Linked DNA regions of Schizosaccharomyces pombe. The gene in region 2 interacts genetically with the main gene of each other region. Each region holds a gene or a part of one and is shown on either strand. Other genes may lie near its edges.

The links.
Region 1: mutations in caa1 (region 2) and mmb1 together harm fitness more than expected from each alone (negative genetic interaction), as found in Schizosaccharomyces pombe (one large-scale study listed by BioGRID).
Region 3: mutations in caa1 (region 2) and tif302 together harm fitness more than expected from each alone (negative genetic interaction), as found in Schizosaccharomyces pombe (one large-scale study listed by BioGRID).

What each region holds. Positions count from the first base shown.
Region 1 is NC_003423.3:2,608,127-2,612,486, forward strand, and holds mmb1 (mitochondrial microtubule binder Mmb1), read right to left. Parts: upstream 2,515-4,360; 5' UTR 2,418-2,514; coding exon 912-2,417; 3' UTR 562-911; downstream 1-561. Other genes in the region: BTB/POZ family ubiquitin-type ligase substrate adaptor Btb2, read right to left, coding at 182-244; SPOM_SPBC25B2.08 (uncharacterized protein), read left to right, coding at 4,083-4,360. UniProt on the Schizosaccharomyces pombe protein: Involved in the cell polarity process and in regulation of microtubule growth. Has a role in meiosis. Involved in microtubule dynamics.
Region 2 is NC_003424.3:1,230,108-1,233,627, forward strand, and holds caa1 (aspartate aminotransferase), read right to left. Parts: upstream 1,933-3,520; 5' UTR 1,911-1,932; coding exon 681-1,910; 3' UTR 533-680; downstream 1-532. Other genes in the region: SPOM_SPAC10F6.14C (ABC1 kinase family protein), read right to left, coding at 2,209-3,520. UniProt on the Schizosaccharomyces pombe protein: Plays a key role in amino acid metabolism.
Region 3 is NC_003424.3:4,308,601-4,313,622, reverse strand, and holds tif302 (translation initiation factor eIF3b (p84)), read right to left. Parts: upstream 3,063-5,022; 5' UTR 3,045-3,062; coding exon 867-3,044; 3' UTR 562-866; downstream 1-561. Other genes in the region: pan1 (actin cortical patch component protein PanI), read left to right, coding at 1-402; kinesin-5 family plus-end directed microtubule motor, bimC subfamily Cut7, read left to right, coding at 3,647-5,022.

The DNA of each region.
Region 1 (4,360 bases), on a different chromosome or scaffold from region 2:
CTTTGAAGGAGAGGTAAAATATTCAGACTTTTTTTGTTTGGAAATCGTTAAACAAAACATGAACGATTTAACAATAAATCCAAAATAATTAACTACGCAAACAACCATTAATTTGAGAGTAAAGTTCATACAAGAACTGAGACTCAAGGTACGCAGAAGTTCAAATAGCAAAAATACTTACTGAAGATACCGGTTTCATTATAGAGGGCTCTTGAGAAATTTCCGTTGAGCTGTTCATTGACATGATTGTATTAAAGCCACATCCGTTAGGAGTAATAAAAAGAAATCAGAATGAAACTCGTCAGTAATATTTAAAAAAAAGGTACTAAAATATTGTTTTGGTTTCCTAAGGAAAGCGCACTGGAGTAGCTCGATATTCTTGCAGTTATGAATCGTAACGTAATTGCGCTATCCAAAATATACCGTACAAGTTGCACAAATTAACCCTTCTATTTACTTAATTTTTTGCTAAATGAATTAGTAATGCAGCAATCTCATTTACTTCATAATGTCTTCAATTACTTACTGCTGATAGTTGATAGAGCACGAAAACAATGCCAGTTTGTTAATGTTAATTTATTACATATCGGTTGTATGCTGATGTTGCTGCATGCTGAATTTTAACACAGAGCGCATCCCTCTAAACTTCTCGACTATCATCAAGTCAGTCGTGAAGCTTTCAACTGAATAAACCTATGCAACATAATTTCAGCTTAAAAGCTATTAATTAGCTGATCTTAAGTAATACAAAGTAATATATCAAATCGTAACATCCAATTCTTCCCGTATGGTTTGTCTTATTTTTAATAATAATATCCTTATGATAAAACATCTACATGTGATATAAATTATGCAGAATAATAAGTGTAAATGGAACAGAAGCCATCAAATTACAGCAGCTCACTCAACTTTTATATCATTCTGTTAAGGTCCAAAGGTGACGAATGAGAAGAGTGATTAGTATCGTTAATTTCGGAAGTTTGGTTTTGAAGATAAGAAGGATCATGATGAACGACTGTCGAAGACTCTACCAAAGTAGGCGAATTCTGAATTTCTTTGGTTGTAGCCAATGTTTTAGTGGAAAAGGATGAAGAAGTTAGTGAATGGGCATGCCTGTGTAAAATTGAACTGCTTGGTCTCTCATGAATTGTTGCACGCGAGCGAGATGGAGCCAAAATGCGCAAGTTTGAAGGAGGGCGTTGATTTATTGACGAAGGAGGGCGACGGTTGATTGATGAAGAAGGACGAACGATATTAGCCGCTTTAGTACGAACATTGCCTGTAGTTGTCCTCGAAGAGAGAGTGGATTGAATGCGAGAAGGTGAACGAACACCTAAAGAAGTACCTGGACGAACGATTTTAGCTGATGAATTTTTCACATTAACTTCTCTCTGTTCTAATCTTGAGGGAGTACGCGCCTGCGCGTTACGTGAAACAGGTCGTACAGCTAATGAAGAAGCTACCCGAACAGTTGAGTTAGAAGTGGCAGAGACGTTGGGTCTTTGAGTATTGGACGCAGAGTTTTCTCTGAAGATTCTGGATCCCGGTCGGACAGTCTGAGCTGCACTTACAGGACGCACGATCTTGGTCGATGCGTTGACTTTTACTTTGGAAGGACTAGTAGAATTCTTTGAGATACTTCCGGAAGCATTTGTTACGTTAACTCTAGATAATGGACGGGTGGTGGAAGTCCTTGTGGGTGGACGAACGACAGAAGAATTTCCGAGAGAACGAACAGAAATTCGAGGAGAAGCTGAAGGCTTGTCGTTAGAGCCAGGAGATTTGACGACGGGGCTATCATCCGACTTTGCATTGAAGCCGACCTTTGGTGAGCGCACATTCGGGCCATTACCAAGGCGTGATGGTGAACGAACTGCCATTGAAGATTTCGCTCTCGGAATAGCAGCAATTCTAGCATTTGAGGACATTCGGGCGATAGACGACGTTGAAGGTTTTGTAATAGTAGCGACATGTTTAGAGGTCGTTACAGAAGGAGATTCCTTGGAAGAAATTGAATTCTCATGTAGTGATGCCTCTTTGGGAATGCGAGGTGCGTTATTTGATAACCTGGCCAAACTAGTCGAGGGTCGAAGACGTTGAGAGGGATTACGAATATTCCGAGCTTTGGCTCGTACATTATTAGTCTTTGAAGTAGGATTAGATATTTGGGTATTTCCTAATGACTGGCCTTGGGTAACCCGAGATTGAGAGGTAGGAACTGATGGTGAAGAAATGTTTACTTGCTGTAAAGAGGCACTTAATTTATCAATAGCCGAGGATTCCTCAGTATCCATTACAGAGTTCTCACCTCCATTATGAAGTTGTGAGGTGGTAGAATCCGTGAAAATCGACGTAGAATGCAGTTCCTTGAGAATATTCGATGTTTGCATTTGTAGTTGCTCCAGTCTTTGAAGCATATTAGACTCGGCCTCTGCCAAAGGCTCTTGGCTTGGTGAACCCGGCATTGGCAGAATAAAATTGAATAAGACTCGCAATCAACAACCCTGAATGCACAAAAGAGAAAGCCAAATACACTACACCGTTAGCTGGTATCGCCCAACACTAGGTAGCAATAACAAACTACGTCCTATATTGTTAGTGTATATATAACGAATTCTATTAATCCCCGTAAAACTCTTGCTACCTGATGCAAACAAATAAAATTACCTTCATAAGTGCTGCACTGTTTACATATTTTCTATCCAGCTGACCGATTCTTTTCAATATATGTATTCATTTGACCATAATAATTATCGTTAAATTGTGATTGCTATGAATATACTTTTCCGTTCCCTCCCAGATTTCTGTTCCCGTTGTTTTTCCAAAGCAAATCATTGATGGGAGAGAGCAATGTGAAAATTAAGATGCAAGTGTACAATGAGAATAACATGTACACATTGAGGAAACCCGCTATAACTCTTCTTCCACAGCATCATACCGATTCTACAAATCTCCCGTAGTGGTAAGTACTACGAAAAATGTTATAGTAGAAATATCATTTGAAGAGTTTGTTACCAACTTTTACGACTTTGGTATGTCGTTATTTGAATTAATAAAAGTGATAATGCTTTGTGTGCATTTTTGGGCAACTATCTAGTTTATTTGTTCATTCGGTTCATTCGTCTCCTATGTACCGAGGGAATGTCAAGGAGAGTGTTACTCCCAGTCACTGCTCAAGGTGTGCAAGTTACCTTCGGTTCCTTATTAAATTGACATCAAAGACGGTTTGCAAATGTTACCAGATATGGACGTATATATACATAGAATACCCCAATTAAGACTTTGAAATTCCGTCTTTCACTTTTTAGTCTATATCTATTGTTCAGACTAAACGCAGGCTTAACGCCTTGTCCTACTCCCTTCGCTTCATCTTGTGCTACTCTATTGATGAGTATTTATTAATTTTTCCGCTTTCTTTTGATTAATTCATTCAGCGGTTTGTTTTTGTTTTTCCATCCTTTGTTGTCTTTCATATCGTTTTATTTCGTTCCTTTTTTTTTAACTATCTCAATTGGGATAAGCTTTATTTTTCGTAATTGTAATAAGCTCTAAGAAAACGTTCCCTACTGTTTTACTTTTTTTTATTACTGTTCACTTTCTATTTCCTACTCACGGTTCTCTTGCTTTGCTTCCTTCGATAAAACTAAGCAAGTTTGATCCTTTATTTATTCAATTGTCGGCTTCTAAAACTTCGTCTGTTCGCATAATTTCATATCTCGTTAGGGTAACTTCTTTCGGACGGAACACTAAAGATTTCGTTTACTGATTATTTTCTGTTTACAGTCTGGACTTTATACCCATTTCTAAATAAATTAAACACCCGAAATATCACTACAACCCTATATCCCATTAATCCCTTGGCTATTTGGATTATCAAGCTTATTTATTATTCTCAGGTTTCTCTAATTTTGTGCATAATTCAAGTTTGAAAACATTTCGTGTAATTCAAAAAAAAAGTTTCCCTTTGTTACATATTTGTCGAATTATTTTCTCATTAAAACCTTTAATCCCATCACTTCACCTTTGATTGTGATTTGTTTCCATTTTACTTTTATTTTCTCTTTTTCTTAAAATTTATTACCATGCTTCCACATCAAAATTCCAGTTATACCCGTCAAGGCACTAATGATGCGCAGGCAAATGATATGCGCAGTCCATCGCAACTTCCTACTTCTGTCAACATTGAAGATCCCTCTAAGTTATGTATATCGAGTGAAAAATTAAATACCCCTATGCATAATCGTTCCCGTTCTGGTATTAAGAAACATACTTCTGTCAAGCGTTCTCGCTCCTTCAAACTATTTGATACACTTTTCTTTGGTATTCTAAGGCTCCGTAAGCAACGGATAAGGTCGGTTAA
Region 2 (3,520 bases):
CTTTATTAAATTTATCGAGAAGAATTATTGAGTCAAAATGTCCTAACAAACTAACTCATACACATTTAGAGATGTTATAATTATTAATTATTGGAGGAAAGACACGAGAAGAAATAAAATTTATGCAAAGAGGGATATTCCTTGCTTTAGCCTGGTTTTCGAGTTATTAGGATATTTTCAAAATTTCCTGCTTAAAATTATAGTTGACACAATAGGGAAGTAAAACAAAGAAAATCATACTCATATTGTATTACTTAAGTTTTGACTTCTTTTCTTTGTATTGGCTCTAATAGTTGCTAAAAGTTGTATTATATTAATGTAGTAAACCTCGATATAACAAAGAATTCAAATACTCTGTCATTAATCAATTTGCAAGTTATGAATTATTAAAAAAGAACTCTTTCTCAGTTTTGTCTAAACATATCCGATTACAAACTGATATCAACTTGTTTTGCAAATAATGAGCCAAATACTGATGTCTAACTCACAAAGGAGAAGTCCCGGTGTATGAGTTGAACAGATAACTTCATATTATTCAAAAATTCAAAGAATAAATGCATATACTAGTTCTCTAAATTGCTAAAGAATTTGTTCCTAAATTCGTCAAATTTACAACAATCCAAAATTCTGTATTCATGAATCCAATACTTATCTATGTGACTTTGGTATTAATAATCAGTTTAAGGCAACTCGCGAACAGCATGGTTAAATGCCTGTGCAACATGCTCTACATTAGAATTGTTCAAACCAGCCATAGAAATACGACCATTTGCACTGAAATAAAGATGGTACCGCTCCTGGCAAAATTGGACTTGTGCAGGCGTTAAACCGGTAAAAGAAAACATTCCAATTTGTTGTGTAATATGATCCCAAGAACCGGGGGTTTTGAGTGCAACAAGAGAATCGCGAAGACGTTTCCTCATCTCAATGATTCTAGAAGACATAGTCTTTAAATCTTGTTCCCATTCAGCAAACAATTGAGGACTGTTAAGAATTTCGGCAGCAATACGTGCACCGTAAGCGGGAGGGTTAGAAATGGTGTTACGTTGAACAATACACAATTGAGATAAGACCTTGTTTTTAGTGGAAGCGTCCTTTGCAACGTAATGCATGCAACCAGTACGTTCACCATAAAGACCCATATTTTTAGCAAATGACTGACAAACGAAAAAGTCCTTGTTATATTTGACAAACTCGTTTAGAGCCCAAGAGTCACGATTCAGATCACCACTGGCAAAACCTTGATAAGCAATGTCAAAAACTACCAGATGCTTGCGAGAAAGCAGACTCTCGAATATAGAAAGCCATTGTTCCCTAGTGGGGTCAATACCAGTAGGATTGTGAGCACAAGCATGAAGTAAAAATATACTTCCTTCGGGAGCAGATTTAATGGTACTTAGCATGCCTTCGTAATCAAAAGATCTATTCTTGGCATCCCAATAAGGATATGTATCTACAGTGACTCCCAATTTTTCCCACAAAGTGCGATGGACAGGCCAAGTAGGGTTGGAGATGTATACATGGGCTCCAGTGTGCTTTACATAGAAAGTCTCAATGAAACTAGCAGCAAGAAAATTGGCACCAGTACCAGAGACTGACTGCATAGATGCAACACGGTCCTCGGACAATAAATGAGGATTGGGTCTGAAAAGAACTTCAGCCGCAGCCTTAGTGAAACGAGGCAATCCAGCAATTGGTAAATATTCATGGTTGAAGCTTGCCTGTTCTTCCACTATTTTAGATGCTTTTTTAACTGCAGGCAAAATCCAAGGCTTACCAGTATCGTCACGATAGGCGCCAACACTCATGTTAACCTTCTTGGGATCTTCATCCTGATGGTATTGAGCATTTAATTTAAAAATTGCATCTGCCTTAGCTTCCTCAATATTTGCAAACCCGTAGTCTGACATTGTGGTTAAATATGCGGTAGGTAGATTTCAACCTTACTGATCTACTATATATATATATTTATCACTCGGTTTAGTATCACTATATTATCAGTATACTTCATTGACATATAAGATACCGAGCTTGATGTACTGTAATAGTGAATAACGATACAAAGTTTGACTCGTATAGGGAGGAGCTTAACTTTTACAAGGAGGAGCTCTGAAGTGTCTTATCGAGAAAAGTAGGCAATATGTGAAGTTATATTATTATGGTCAAAGATTGGCTTTCCATAAAGAAAAGTAATCTTTACTATAAATATCATTTTTTATCATTAGTAAGTTCAGGCAACCGAAAATTTCCAGGGTAAAATAAATGTTGAAAGACCCAAAAAATAGGCGACAACAGCCGTTGATACCAAGTTGGACTAGGTTTGTCGGTAGTGTATTTATCAGCAACCTTGGCCATAACAGCTATACTATTCACTGGATACCCAAAATTTTGGTTATTTTTTTGAATAAGCATTAAGCAGCGACCTAGCATTAACAGCTCTTTCGGTAAACGAGTGCAGTCCTGTAAGAAGCCAATGAACTTTTTGCGTTCAGCAAGCTGCTGTTGGAAGGCCTCTTTCTTTGAAATAATTTTTTCACCAGTGTGAGGTTGCTCTTCATCCATTGGAATATTTAACATGCGGTTAGCAAAAAGCTCAGGTTGTCCAATCCCCCAAGCATCCATTACCTGAAGAATAGATTTTTTGTCTAATGAATAGGCTGCAGTGAAAAGCAAGGCAAATTCTTTTCTAAACTTTTCTGATTCAAATACATATAACCCATGATCCAAAATTACCGTTTGACACAAGCCTGCTTGATTTTTTCGAACAAGGATATTTCCAGGATGTGGATCACAATGAACTTGTTTCGAATGAAACATTTGGAAGGCAAGGAATCTGAAAAGGTTCGTTAAAATTTCCTTTTTGCTCATCCCAGCTTCAGAAAGAGCAGTTTGATCATAGAGGGGAATGCCATCAGCCCATTCAGTAACCATTACTCGCTTTCCAGAAATCTCTTTATAAACCTTTGGTATATATATCTTATCTCTTAAATAATCAGTTTCTTCTACCCCTTCACGAGCATGTTCCGAATTGTTAGCTTCAGTTGTAAAATCAACCTCAGAACGTAATCTTTCCGAGACATAATCAACCGTAAAGTAGAGAGGGATATGAAATATCCATTTATCATAAACATACATCATGTATTTGTACACGAGAAGATCCCACGACATTTGCTTAGCAACATCTGGTTTTTGAATTTTTACCGCGACCTTTTCACCGCTAGGTAAAACAGCACGATGTACCTGCGCAATACTGGCACTTGCAGCAGCACGTTTCTCAATGCTGGCAAATACTTCCTCTACTGGTCTTCCATATTGCTCTTTGAATATGTCTTGAAGTTCTTCCCATTCAACTTGAGGTGCATTGTCAAACATTCCCTGAAAGGCTTTCCCATACGCTTCAGGCAAATTATTTGATTGCATAGCAATGATTTGACCCATCTTGATGTATAAACCGCCATTTTTGTAAATCGTTTTAAACAGTCTCTGTGCTACTCTTTGGTGCAAAGCATCAATTTTGTCT
Region 3 (5,022 bases), 3.1 Mb from region 2:
GATGACATACGTTCAAGTAAAGATGCAGCTGCCTTAGCCGCCAAATTATTCGGTGGTATGGCTCCTGCTCATCCTGTTTCAACACCTCCTGTAAGACCTCAATCGGCGGCACCACCTCAAATGTCTGCTCCAACACCACCACCTCCTCCTATGTCAGTACCACCACCTCCATCTGCACCGCCAATGCCTGCCGGTCCACCGTCTGCTCCACCACCACCTCTTCCTGCTTCATCGGCTCCTTCTGTTCCCAATCCAGGAGATCGTAGTGCTTTACTTCAACAAATTCATACTGGCACTCGGTTGAAAAAAACGGTTACGACGGATAAAAGCAAGCCCATAGCAGGACGAGTTTTAGACGCTTCTGACGGCAATTCATCCGCTTGGTATGGGAATTTGTCTTAGTGGCTTAACTTTTGTTTGTACTCATATCAAACGTTGAGTTTTTGTAGTGTTTCTAATTTTTATGCGCTCTTTATGAATGATATATTTTCTCATTCTGCAGCTATCAATTATCTCTTTAAATTGGCTTGTTTATACTTTATTTACCAATAAAATGTTTATGTTTAAATCTCTAGAGTGCATTAAGACAATATGAATTTAGAAACTTTCTTGAGTCAAATAATACTCGGACATTCACAAAACTATTAAGAACGCTATATTACTTATATACAGTAGTATGTAACGCAAATGCAATTCCATTTAAAAGGACTAATGTAAATATAAATTTCCCCATACAGTACCAATCGAAACGCAAATACACGTCCAGGAACACATAATTGCGGCAACAAGATCATGATTTTAATCAAGTAACATCCGATTTCGAAGAAGGCCCCAATTTTTTTATGACAAAAGGTAGCGTAAAGCCCTTAATCTTCAACGGGTTCTATCTCTTCAGAGATTACTTCCTCAACCGTTTCCTGAATTATTTCTTCTTCTTCAGCAGGAACAGTGATAGCAGGTTGGCCAGTGATTGCACGTTCTTCCGCAACCCGAGCAATAACCTCATCCCTATATTTCTGCCACTCACTAATGAGCTGTCTTCTACGGGCTGCCAATTCACGATTGGCGGAACTCTGTTCGGCGATATCCTCTTCATCAAACAAACGATTATAATCCTTAAGTTTCTTTCTAATTTTCTTCATGTCTTCCTTTGTCAATGGAGAAGGAGGTCTCGGACGCCAGATAAACTGCTTAAATTCTCCAATCATTTCTTCACGAAGAAGTGTGCCCCTAAAATCGCAAAGTCTGTAACCGTTCTCAAGCTTATGCCTCCAAATAGTACTGCTAGTAGTAACATATCGACCACTAGGATCCCACTCCAGCTCAGTCATACCAAAGTGCTCGGCAGAACCTATTTGCTGAACATTGGCAAGAGCATCCGGTTCTTTCTTTTCGGTATCAAAATCTAAGTCGTAAAACTCCAAATCATATTGAGTAGAGGAACCAAGGGTTGCAGCAACCATAAATCTACCCTTAGGCGCCATAAAAAGTGAATTGCATGTTTTCTTATCAAAAGTAATGATATGACGGAAAGTACTAGGGGTGTTCTTTTTCTGCTCAAAACCATAAAACGATAAATTAGTTTTTACATTTGTAGAATTTAAAACTTGATCATTAGCTGAAATTATGGCAAAACGATCACTCTTAGGTTCCCAGGCAAAATTGAGAACAACATCCTTAAGATCCACTACTTCAACGGGAATATTTTTCTCACGAATTCGGAATATTTCAAGGTTAGAGAATGTTGATTTCTTAGTTTTTGTGTGACGATCAACCTTAACACATAAATAATCACCATTAGACTGCCAGTACAACTTACAGTCGGAAACATTGAAAAGATTTTTCGTACGGATAGTTGATTTTGAAGGAATACTAATTAAGGCAACGCGAGCAGGTTGATTGGTAATTTCAGGGGTCCAGTAAGCTAAAAGCTGCTCCTTGGAATCACGTCCGAGAGCATCTGAAACTGGGCACCATTCAAAATTTTGCACACCGTCGATCTTGATAGTTTTCTTGTCAACCAAAGCAAGGGAGGGTGTCTCATAAACAGAAATCGACTGACCAACAGTAACGCGAGCAAGGTATTTATCATCGGCAGACCACTTGAAAATAGGCCAAATAACTTTTTTGCCATCCTTTGAACCTTCTGGTTGAGGAGGAATCTTAAAAGAACGAAGAATACGACCAGAGGCAATATCCCAAACGAAGCAATGTTTTCCTTCATCATCATCAGTGAAAGGCATTGTTTCACGAGCCGGATGTCCGATGGGAGGAAGTCGAACAGGCTCATAGGACCATGAAACAAGATACTTCTCGTTAGGGCTGAAGTCGACAAATTTTACGTAGGGGTGCAAGAAACGAGCACACATTCCCCAAGATTCCCCACCCCATAATTGAATACCACGAAGATGAAGTGATACGAGGTAAGTGCCCATGGGAGACCATTGCACGTAGGTCTCGGTCCAGTTTTCACGATCCACAATCTGTTCAGGGACGTCGCTCTTACGGTTCCAGTTAACAGATACACGGTTACCGTAATAGCTGATAAATTGATCACGACCATAGTAATCAGTTAACCAGCTACGCAAATGTTCGCGCTCCTTAAATTCACGTTCTTCGAAACTAAATTCATCAGGAGTGCTAAAAGCTTTTTCGAGTTGATTCAACTTACGAACAACGAAAGTATGGTTTTTTAAAATTTGCTTTCCATCCAACTCTTGAACGCAAAGATCGGCGCCATCAACATTTTCAAAATCGGCGAAAACTAGTCCAAGAGACATCTTTTTTCCATTTTTTTCCTCAAATGGCATATAAAATCCATTTTCCTTAACCTTTCCAATTTTAGCAAGGACTTTTGAGCTCAAAAAACGGAAGAAATCTTGCTGCTTAGCTTCTTCGACAACTGGAGCACCTTCGATTACTACAACCGTGTCATATCCAACAGGTTTAGTTACATTAAGCTTAACTTCCAGTTCAGAAACATCGATTTCCTCGTCCTTTACGACGATTTGATCCTTAATTTCCTCAATTAGGATTTCCGACATTTCTGGTGTAGTGCCGTTGTCTCTAGTCAAGTTTCTTCACCCAGTGACTGGGGGGACATCGAAGAGTAACTTTAGAGAAATTTAAAAAAAATTGAAAGTAATGAAAAGTAGAATTTAAAAAACATGGTATCATTTAAAATAAACTAATAAAGTTGATTCTGTTTTATATTTCTTCTTTTTTAGATTTTAACTCATTCTACCGATTTTGACTATTATCATTACTGACAACAGTTTATCTGCCAAGTTCGTTCATTTTGTATTGATTTTTAGTATTAGCACAATTGTTGGATTTTTCATAAAAGTTCTTTTTTCTCTTTTTATACTGTTGATTTGTACTGCAAAACATTGGAATGAGACATTCCAAGTGTTACCGTGTCTGAGTCCTCGTTCTTGTTTACAACAATTCAACAACATACTCAGGAGCGACAATTGTCCAATTTATTCATTCTTTTTACCCCTAAAAACAGACGTTTACGATCTTTTCCTATTTTAAATTTACCCCTTTTTTTTATATTGTGGTTTATTGAACTTTACAACAGAATTGCAATTTAAATTAACAACCTTGTCGCTTTCTTTGTAACAATCCTTACTCATAAAACCGAATGGCCCCTAGAGTTGCACCTGGTGGCTCACAACAATTTCTAGGAAAGCAGGGGTTGAAAGCTAAAAACCCGGTTTCTACTCCAAATTCACATTTCCGCTCTGCGAGCAATCCTAGGAAACGACGTGAGCCTCCTACTATTGACACTGGGTACCCAGATCGCTCCGACACTAATTCTCCGACAGATCATGCACTTCATGATGAGAACGAAACCAATATTAACGTAGTCGTCCGTGTTCGTGGTCGTACAGACCAAGAAGTACGCGACAATAGTAGCCTTGCTGTATCGACTTCGGGCGCTATGGGTGCTGAATTGGCCATCCAGTCGGATCCTTCATCCATGTTGGTCACGAAGACGTATGCCTTTGATAAAGTCTTTGGTCCTGAAGCTGACCAGTTAATGCTATTCGAAAATTCGGTAGCGCCCATGCTGGAGCAAGTATTGAACGGCTATAATTGTACTATATTTGCGTACGGACAAACTGGAACCGGTAAAACATATACTATGTCTGGTGATCTTAGCGATTCCGATGGAATTTTGTCTGAAGGAGCAGGCCTTATTCCTCGTGCCCTTTATCAATTATTTTCCTCCTTGGACAACAGTAATCAAGAATATGCTGTCAAATGCTCCTATTATGAACTTTACAACGAGGAAATTCGCGATCTTTTGGTTTCCGAAGAATTGCGAAAGCCAGCTCGTGTTTTTGAAGATACTTCGCGGAGAGGGAACGTTGTTATTACTGGTATTGAAGAAAGTTATATAAAAAATGCTGGCGATGGGTTGCGATTGTTACGTGAAGGCTCTCACCGGCGTCAAGTTGCTGCTACAAAGTGTAACGATCTTTCATCTCGTAGTCATTCAATCTTCACGATAACTCTGCATAGAAAGGTATCTTCGGGAATGACAGATGAAACTAATTCACTTACCATAAATAATAACTCTGATGACTTGCTGCGCGCCAGCAAACTTCATATGGTTGATTTGGCTGGAAGCGAGAACATTGGACGTTCTGGAGCTGAAAACAAACGTGCTCGAGAAACTGGAATGATCAATCAATCACTATTAACATTAGGCCGAGTAATTAATGCATTAGTGGAAAAGGCCCACCATATTCCATACCGTGAGTCCAAGCTTACACGCCTATTGCAGGATTCTTTGGGGGGAAAGACTAAAACCTCTATGATCGTTACCGTATCTTCTACTAATACTAATTTGGAAGAAACAATTTCTACTTTGGAGTATGCTGCTCGTGCTAAAAGTATACGCAATAAGCCTCAAAATAATCAGCTTGTCTTTCGAAAAGTCCTTATAAAAGACTTAGTGTTAGATATCGAACGATTGAAAAATGACCTTAATGCCACCCGTAAAAAGAACGG